2 linked regions of the Macaca mulatta genome follow. The protein of the gene in region 1 purifies or fractionates together with the protein of each later gene. This does not show direct contact. Links are inferred from orthologs where the notes say so. Each region holds a gene or a part of one and is shown on either strand. Other genes may lie near its edges.

Region 1 (4,535 bases):
CCCCTTTCTCCTTCAAATTAAAAAATTTTACTGACTAAAGAAAGCCTATGAGAAAGCCCATGAATTCTGAAATACATTTTGATATTATTGTGAAAAAATTGTAAAACTTAAAAACAGTATTTTAAAATATGCTATCTTTTGAGATCTCATCTGGTTTTATCCTATTTTAATACTGATTAGAGGATACAAAGATGGTGATCTCCCTTCTTTGGCGAAGTCAAGCGTCACTTCTTTTCTAAATTCCTCCTTCATCTTCCCTTAAGGAAATGCCCTCCTCCACCCATGCATGCAGGTGTGTCAGTTTTTAAACGTGTGTCCTAATAAGACTTGATAAAAACGTTTTCCACACACCCCTTGAGCAGCTTGAACATTTTGGTTGATTGTGCCTTATTTTCCCACATTAAAAAATTGTCTAGAAATGGGTGAGACCGTCTCAAAAAAAAAAAAAAAAAAAAAAAAAGAAAATATTTTTCTACCGATTAGTTCTGCAGGCTTGTTGGGTCTCTTATTAATGAACGTCTCAAAGGACTCCTTCATCAGGTTGACGAACCGCTCGTTCTTCTGGAAGCAGACCTCGATCACGTGGTCCACCTTGTCCTTGAAGTCCAACAGGTCTTGGACCATGTCTTTATCTTTCTCAGGATTGATGACGATCGCTGTCCCAAAAGTCTACAAAAGCAAATCAATACCAACTCAGCAATACGTTTATAATACCAAACAATATTTTTCCTGCTATCATATAATCAGGATAGTTTAATACAAATTACTCTTAGTAGTAAGCAATAACTTTAAAAGTTTCACAAATTGAATTCACATCTCAAAAATTAAGTGAATATACTTTTTGATTTATTTTTTAAGGCAGGGCCTCACTCTGTAGCCGAGGCTGGAGTGCGGTGGTACAATCACGGTTCACCGCAGCCTCGACCTCCCAAGCTCAAGCAATCCTCCCACCTCAGCCTCCTGAGTAGTTGGTGCTACAGGCTCAGGTCAGCACATCTGGCCAATCTTTTTAAAGTTTTGTAGAGACGCGGTCATGCTGCCCAGGCTGGTCTCGAACTCCTGGCCTCAAGCAACCCTCCCACTGTGATTTCCTGAAGTGCTGGGTTTACAGGCATGAGCCCTGTGCTTGATGTGAATATACAATTAAACACATTATTAATGCCTTGTTTTTACGATTCTGTTTCTGAGAGAACTTACAAATGACTGGGAAAATGTCCATTGCTTTTAAAAGAATGTTTATGTGTAAGTTCCTCCAAGACAAGGTAATTCTTATTAATTAAATATACCTCTTGGGACTTCTTAGCTAGTTTTCTTTCTCCATCACTTCAAATAATGAAAAGCTCATTTTTTAAGTTTGTATTTTTTTTTTATTTGAGACAGAGTCTTGCTTTGTCACCAGGCTAGAGTGCAGTGGCATGATTTTGGCTCACTGCAACCTCCTCCTGCCGCTTCAAGTGATTCTCCCAGGTAGCTGGGACTACAGGTGCACACCACTACACCCGGCAAAGTTTTGTACTTTTAGTAGAGTCGGGGGTTTCATCATGTTGGCCAGGATGGTCTCGATCTCTTGATCTCATGATCCGCCCGCCTTGGCCTCCCAAAGTGGTAGGATTGCAGGCGTGAGCCACTGCGCCCAGCCTAGTTTGTTTTTTTAATTAAAAAATGTTATATTAAACATTCCTAAAAGTGTGTGGCACTAAAAAAGTTAACTATTTGATGACATAAACTACATTTGCTCAAGAGGAACTGAATACAATTATTGGATTTAAAAAATGTGTCTCAATACAATGCACACGTGCACTCACATGTCACACACACACACGAGGTAGCTGGCCGGTGGAAAGATGCCAACAGAAGGCTGGGCGCAGTGGCTCATGCCTGTAATCCCAGCACTTTGGGAGGCCGAGGCGGGTGGATCACGAGGTCCAGAATTCAAGATCAGCCTGGACAATATGGTGAAACCCCGTCTCTACTAAAAATACAAAAATTAGCTGGGTGTGGTGGCGGGAGCCTGTAATCCCAGCTACTCAGGAGGCTGAGGCAGGGAAATGCTTGAACCCAGGAGGCAGAGGTTGCAATGAGCTGAGATCATGCCACGGCACTCCAGCCTGGATGACAGAGCGAGACTCTGTCTCAAAAAAAAAAAAAAAAAAAAAAAAAGATGCCAACAGAAAGGGCACAGCTTTACTTTGACAACGGCATGTGGAGTTGAATGGAAACCACTATTTTGTTATAGCATAACTGCTTACTGCTGACACTCAGGGGTGACGGTCACTCACTGATTTTTATTACCCAGACTGGAAACTGCAAAGGTGAACTTTTCCTAGTTTTTTAGCACATATTCTCATCCCCTGAAGACTGTCTCACTGGCAAAAAACCTAAATCTTCAGTAGCTTTATGGCCAATTTAGTGTGACTCAGTTGTAACTTCCAATTCAACGTCGCTGTACAAGACCTTGTGGGGAGAGCTGCTAGGTGTGCCGGCTTTGCATAGCTGGACTGATACGTGACTTGAGGTCTGATTATTCCATAAAGCAGCACGTAAGTGTTCATTTATCTTTTTTACTTAATGGAAATCTTATGAGATAATGAAAGTGCTGCATAATAGTAAAAATAGCAAAGCAATCCCAGTATCTTTGTTTTCCATAGTTTCCTCCAATGGCAAGTTTGCAAAACTACAGAACAGTATCTCAACCGGGATACTGACACTGATAACCCCCCAGGTCTTTTTCAGATGGCCCAGTTGACTTGTAACTCATCTGGGTGTGCACATCTAGACCTCGGCCAAAACCCCAACAGTTCCTGCAGAAGGCTACCTCCTGGGGCCTTTTATAACCACACACCCCGCTCCATCCCTACACCCTGGTAACTTTTCATCTGTCCTCCATTTCCAAATTTTGCCATTTCCAGAATGTTATGCAATAACATGTTAAGTATCTGCGATTGGCTTTTTTTTTTTTTCTCTCAGCGTAATTCTCTGGAAATTTTATCTATCTTTTCATTCTGGGATCTAAGAATAGTCACCAGCAAGCACACACACAGACTCCTGGTAAACGCTCACCATTTAAGCTGGAAAATTCATGCAACTGGCACACGCTGAAAACACGAGTTATCTGTGAAGGGGCCCTGATGTTTGCCTCAGTTCTCCTGTTTCTGTAAGGGGCATCTGGAGAATGGCTTCTCATTATAGAGGGTCTTCAGTAGGTTTCTTGGGCTGGGCAACACTGGCACTCTGGGCAGGCGATTCTCTGTGGTGAGGGCTGCCTCGTGCATTCAGGAGCACCCCGGGGCTGCCCAGCAGAGCAAGCAGTGCCCTCTCTGTTCAGACAGCCACAAACGTCTCCACACATCAACAAGTGTCCCCTTGGTGGGGTGGTGCCCTGGGCCGAGAGCCCCTAGTCTTCAGGGAGGTCCTATGTCAGCACCGAGGGGCTGTTCTCCTGGGCAGGACACGTGAAAACTCAGGGTACTGCCCAAGAAGCCACTCTATGACGGGTTAGATTGGGCTTGTCAGGGATGCCAAAGAAATGCTTTCGAAACATGAAAGCGAAAGTTTAAGTAACAAATCCTAAATTTGGTCTGTTAAGAAATAAAGTCTATAAAGCTACCTAATATGCCAAATAGATAATAGTTCTCACTGAGCTAAGGGCATGAGGAGATCTTGTCTGACAAGCAGATTTACAAAAATGATTACTTTCAGAAAAATCATGATTTAGAATTAAACCAATATTTACGCTGATGAAGAAGAGCAAAACTGTTGATCTTTAAGTTATACTTTCTACCTGGATGGTGCTAATCACTGCTGGTGTTATCTTAAAAAGCAAATTCACACTGGTGATGGGGAAGCAGATGGAACACTACCATCCACCCTATCATCTATGATGAAAATGCCAACCGGCCCTCCAGCAGCCCAGTTCCCTTTGTCAGGGCACTGGGTGTTCTCAGGAGGGGCTCTGCTCCCTGCAGGAAACGCCCGCGCCTGTGGCCTCGAAACCCCACCAGTACCTTGATGTACTCGCTCCAGTGCTGCAGCAGCGCCTGCTGCCCGCCCCTAACCCGGCTGAACAGCTGGTACATCTGCGCGAGGTCCGGCACTCTGTTCTCGTCCAGTAAGTGGTCAAGCCCTGAGATGTGCAGTACACGTCAGCAGAGTACAGCATGGGCAGCATTAACAACAATAACTCAACTAGAATACAGCGTGCAGGGTAAGAACGCCAATACACCGCTTAGAAACTGGGCGGCTCTACACATCACTGCCTGTATATGAGAAGGTTGATCTGGTTAAATATCTGAGATGGATCCTATTAGGTGAACCTCATTTTTTCTGAGTATGTTGGAAGATGTATTATTTACTTCTTCATGTCACTGAAGCCCTCTTATTTCACTAAAGTTAGCAAGTCAGAAAATCCAGTTTACACCAACTATTTAACCTGGGAGGTTCATGTTCCCAATATACTTCTAATTTAGTCCATCAGCCAGACAATGTAAAAGGACAAGCTATCAAATCTAATTTATAGTGGATTAAATTTATTCACA
Region 2 (4,535 bases), on another chromosome or scaffold:
TGCCAGAGTTAACTTCCTAAAGTGCATGTTCAATTATCATGTGTTCCATGCTCAAAAACCTTTAATGATTTCCTCCCGCACTGAGAACACACAGACTGCTAAGCCTGGTATCCTAAGTTTACTGGGACCCAGTAAGTCTTTTTCCCAGACTTCCCAGCAACTCCCCGTCCACCTTCTCTGTGCTTCACTCATGCAGATCAACCTGCCAAGCATTTCCCCTTCTTTGGGTCTTTTTCCAGGCTGTTACCATCACACACATCAGGTCAAGCTCAACACTGCTCTGGCACTAAAGGCTTCCTATAGTTTGTCACATTCCACTAAATTTTCCTCTTACTTGGCTCAGTTCTACCTCCACAATGTTATCTACAGGGCTCAAACATGCCCCGCCTGAGGCATTCAGGCCAAGACAGCTAATTGACTTTGGTCAATCCCATCTCCATCCAGAACCTACTTCCTCATTTCTCATTGCATGTCCGTTGTTTACTGCTCTTCCTGTGCCCAACACAGACCATGTCTCATGTCCTATTCTGCACACACTCCAACCACACTGCTCTTCCAGATACCCCACAGATTGGGTATCTGGAAGTGCTCACCATCAACCCGTATGTGTCTGATTTTTTTAAAACGTTCTATTATAGAAATTTTGAAAAATGAACATTAGTAGAGAGGGCATCATGAACCTTGTATTACCTTGCTTTAACAATTAACACTATTTCCTCAATGTCATTTTTGACCCTTCCTCTCCCCATCTCTGGAGTTTTTCAGGCCAAGGCGGGCAGATCGTGAGGTCAGGAGATCGAGACCATCCTGGCCAACATGGTGAAACCCGTCTCTACTAAAAATACAAAAATTAGTTGGGTGTGGTGGCGTGTGCCTGTAATCTCAGCACTCAGGAGGCTGAGGCAGGAGAATCGCTTGAACTAGGGATTGGGAGGCTGCAGTGAGCCGAGATCACGCCACAGCACTCTAGCCTGGGCAACAGAGCAAGATTCTGTCTCATACACACAAAAGGTATATTATTTTACTCAGCATTTCAATGATACTCTAACACGGATATTTTTAATTGTCTGATTATAATTGCTGTAAGACTCTTTAAAACTTTTAAAATTATTTAGACATGGTGTCTCACTGTCGTCCAGGATGGAGTGCAGTGTGATCTTAGTTCACTGCAGCCTTGAACTCCTGGGCTTGAGCGATCCTGCTGCCTTAGCCTCCCAAGTAGCTGGGATTACAGACATGAGCCACCATGCTCAGCTCTGCTGTGACTTTCTTATGTAGTATTTTAACCACCAATTTAACAGGTAGCTGCGATTTAACAGGTAGTTGTGATTTTACTTTGTCACAGATAACATTTGTATTAAGAGTTAATTTTTGTTTCAGATCATCTATATTTTGATTTTATAACTTGGAAGTAGCTGATTCTAGCTATCAGGATTCCAGGAGTCCCTTCAGCTCCCAAATATGCAGACTGAGATTTACAAGTTAAATAAATAACTTATTTAACCTGCTCAGTGTGCCAAATGCCTATTTCTCAAACCACTTAGGGTAGCACATTCCAAAAGAAACAAAGCGAGCTTACCCAGCTTTTGTCAGACCGTTTTCATCTTTATACTTACTTCCCTCAGAAAAGCAATATACATAGTTGTCATCTCAGCTCACTTTATTCCCCCGCAAGGCTTTCTATACAAACTTCTAATTCTAATCTGTCTTCTGCTCTATTTCCTTTTTCTCTTCCCACCCATGATTTTCTTTTGCTTTTTGAGATGCAGTCTCACTGTGTTACCCAGGCTGGAGCGCAGTGGTACGATCTTGGCTCACTGCAGCCTCCACCTCCCAGGTTCAAGCAATTCTCCTGCCTCAGCCTCCTGAGTAGCTGGGATTACAGGGGCCTGCCACCATGCCTGGCTAATTTTTGTATTTTTAGTAGAGACGGGGTTTCGCCACGTTGGCCAGGCTGGTCTTGAACTCCTGACCTCAAGTGATCCACCCGTCTTGGCCTCCCAAAGTGCCGAGATTACAGGGGTGAGTCACCGCACCTGGTCTCCTTTTCTAATTATCTCCAACAACAGCATCTCAAAATGCACACAGTAGTCCCCCCTTATCCACAGGGGATACATTCCAAGACGCTTAGTGGTGGTCTAAAACCGCAGATAGTACACAAACCTTATATACATTGTTTTTCCTATATGTACCTAGGAATCAAATAATTATAATAATATACTGTAATAAAAGTTATATGAAAGTCATCTCTCTCAAAAAACTGTACTTTACTCACCTATTTTCAGACTGTAGTTGACTGTGGCTAACTGAAACCAAAGAAAGCAAAACCGTGGATAAGGGGGCACTACTGTATTCTGAGAAAACCGACTGCAGTTGAGGAAAAGGTACGTGGATATAAGTTCAAGCACACCATAGCATTGTAACTACATACAAAAACTCACAAGTGGGTTACAAATGATTAAACCTGATATATGCAATAAAATACACCGTACTTTTTTTTTTTAGATCCTAGATTTGTATCTTACATTAGTGAGTTAAAGTTTATCTTCTAAACTAGTTTAGGAATCATGCTGTCTGCCCAAGTCTTCAACCAGATTATCTTACTGATATCAAGAACAATAAAATCTAAGAGTAAAGCTTTGGAACACCACAAACATGATCCAACATATTAAGCTTATAATTACAAACCAGTAGAAGTGGATACGCTCTAACCTGGGTCATCTTCCTCATCATATTTATCTAAGTCGTACTCAGCCAGCTCATCCTCATCGAGCGTCCTGTCATCCTCTGGGTCACCATCCTCCAGGGGCTCTCTTGGGCGTGCCTGGGTGCGTGCACTCTGCATGCCATCTTCTGAAGGACTGCCTATCTCCTCTTCATCACTGCCACCACCACCTTCTCTATGAGCAGAGAAAGAAAAAGAGAATCACCCAAATGGCACCTTCCAATAACAAGACCACACCTGGTCATCATTTAAGATGCAGATTTCATCTGGTCCTAAACTTAACTGCAATTTCTCCTTTGCCTCAGCAATGAGACGTTTTACTTCTTCTTTACTCAGCTCTACCTGTAAGAGAGCAAAGATTTCATTACAATATGTGTAAGGAAATCATCAGAATTCTTTGAATTAAAAAGTAGTTTGCAAACAAATGTAAAATGTAATGCCAAGCAATGTCATCAAGATAAGAATCAAACATCTAGACTCTACATTAAAAAAATATAGATTTCGCCGGGCGCGGTGGCTCACGCCTGTAATCCCAGCACTTTGGGAGGCCGAGGCGGGCGGATCACAAGGTCAGGAGATCGAGACCACGGTGAAACCCCGTCTCTACTAAAAATACAAAAAATTAGCCGGGCGCGGTTGTGGGCGCCTGTAGTCCCAGCTACTCGGGAGGCTGAGGCAGGAGAATGGCGTGAACCCGGGAGGCGGAGCTTGCAGTGAGCCGAGATCGCGCCACTGCACTCCAGCCTGGGCGACAGAGTGAGACTCCGTCTCAAAAAAAAAAAAAAAAAAATATAGATTTCATAGATCCTTATAATTAAGATCCCTCCCCACCTGAAACTTCAAAAATTCATGCTCATTCTACTCTACCTCTCAGTCTTAAAACCCCAAAGACTGGTTTTGGTAAAGTGGCTCTGTGGTACTCCTCTGGTTTTCTTCCAACTATCTCTGACCCTATCTAGGGCACCTCCCTCTCTTCCCTGGGGGCATTCCTTAACAAACCACCCTTAAATTAGTCCTCTGTTTTCTGTTTTTTTTGGGTTTTTTTTGAGACAGAGTGTCACTGTGTCACCCAGGCTGGAGTGCAATGGCGCTATCTCGGCTCACTGCAACCTCCGCCTCCTGGGTTCAAGCGATTCTCCTGCCTCAGCCTCCTGAGTAGCTGGGATTACAGGCATGTGCCACCATGCCTGGATAATTTTTGTATTTTTAGTAGAGACAGGGGTCTCACCATGTTGGTCAGGCTGGTCTCGAACCCCTCACCTCGTGATCCACCTGCCTCGGCCTTCCAAAGTGCTGGGATTATAGGCGTGACCCACTGCGCCTGGCCTAGTCCTCTGTTCTTTTCCCTATTATCACTGCCACACCGTCACTCATCAGGCTCACGTCCTTGCAAAGCTCATTCATTCTCAAGACTGAAACCACCACCTCTGAACTGATTACTCCAAACTTTCTTCTCTCTAATCTTGTATTCCATTTTCCATTTCTCCAACTGCCTACAAGACTTCCCACCTGAATATCCTTTAGCCTAATATTACCAGGTTCAAAGCTGAATTCAATCTCTCTACTTCACAACTGACATTCCCTCACCTAATCAATGTTTCAGTACCTTTTAAAAACACCCCTATCACGGCTGAGTGCAGTGGCTCACGCCTGTAATCCCAGCACTTTGGAAGGCTGAGGTGGGAGGATTCCCTGAGCCCAGGAGTTTGAGACCAGCCTGGGGAACACTGGGAGATCCCCATCTCTATAGAAAATTAAAAAATTAGTCAGGCATGGTGGTACACACCTGTAGTCACTTCAAGAGACTGAG

Evidence for each region. Proteins that work in one complex are often made in the same cells at the same time.
Region 2: the proteins of CUL4A (region 1) and PWP1 purify together in Homo sapiens (affinity purification with western blotting; 6 studies listed by BioGRID and IntAct, with this or other methods). This does not show direct contact. The link is inferred for Macaca mulatta from reciprocal best matches to the Homo sapiens genes CUL4A and PWP1.

The regions. Positions count from the first base shown.
Region 1 is NC_133422.1:107,484,365-107,488,899, reverse strand, and holds part of CUL4A (cullin-4A), read right to left. Parts: intron 4,124-4,535; coding exon 4,005-4,123; intron 670-4,004; coding exon 477-669; intron 1-476. UniProt on the Homo sapiens protein: Core component of multiple cullin-RING-based E3 ubiquitin-protein ligase complexes which mediate the ubiquitination of target proteins. As a scaffold protein may contribute to catalysis through positioning of the substrate and the ubiquitin-conjugating enzyme.
Region 2 is NC_133416.1:114,886,622-114,891,156, reverse strand, and holds part of PWP1 (periodic tryptophan protein 1 homolog), read right to left. Parts: intron 3,068-4,535; coding exon 3,009-3,067; intron 2,901-3,008; coding exon 2,713-2,900; intron 1-2,712.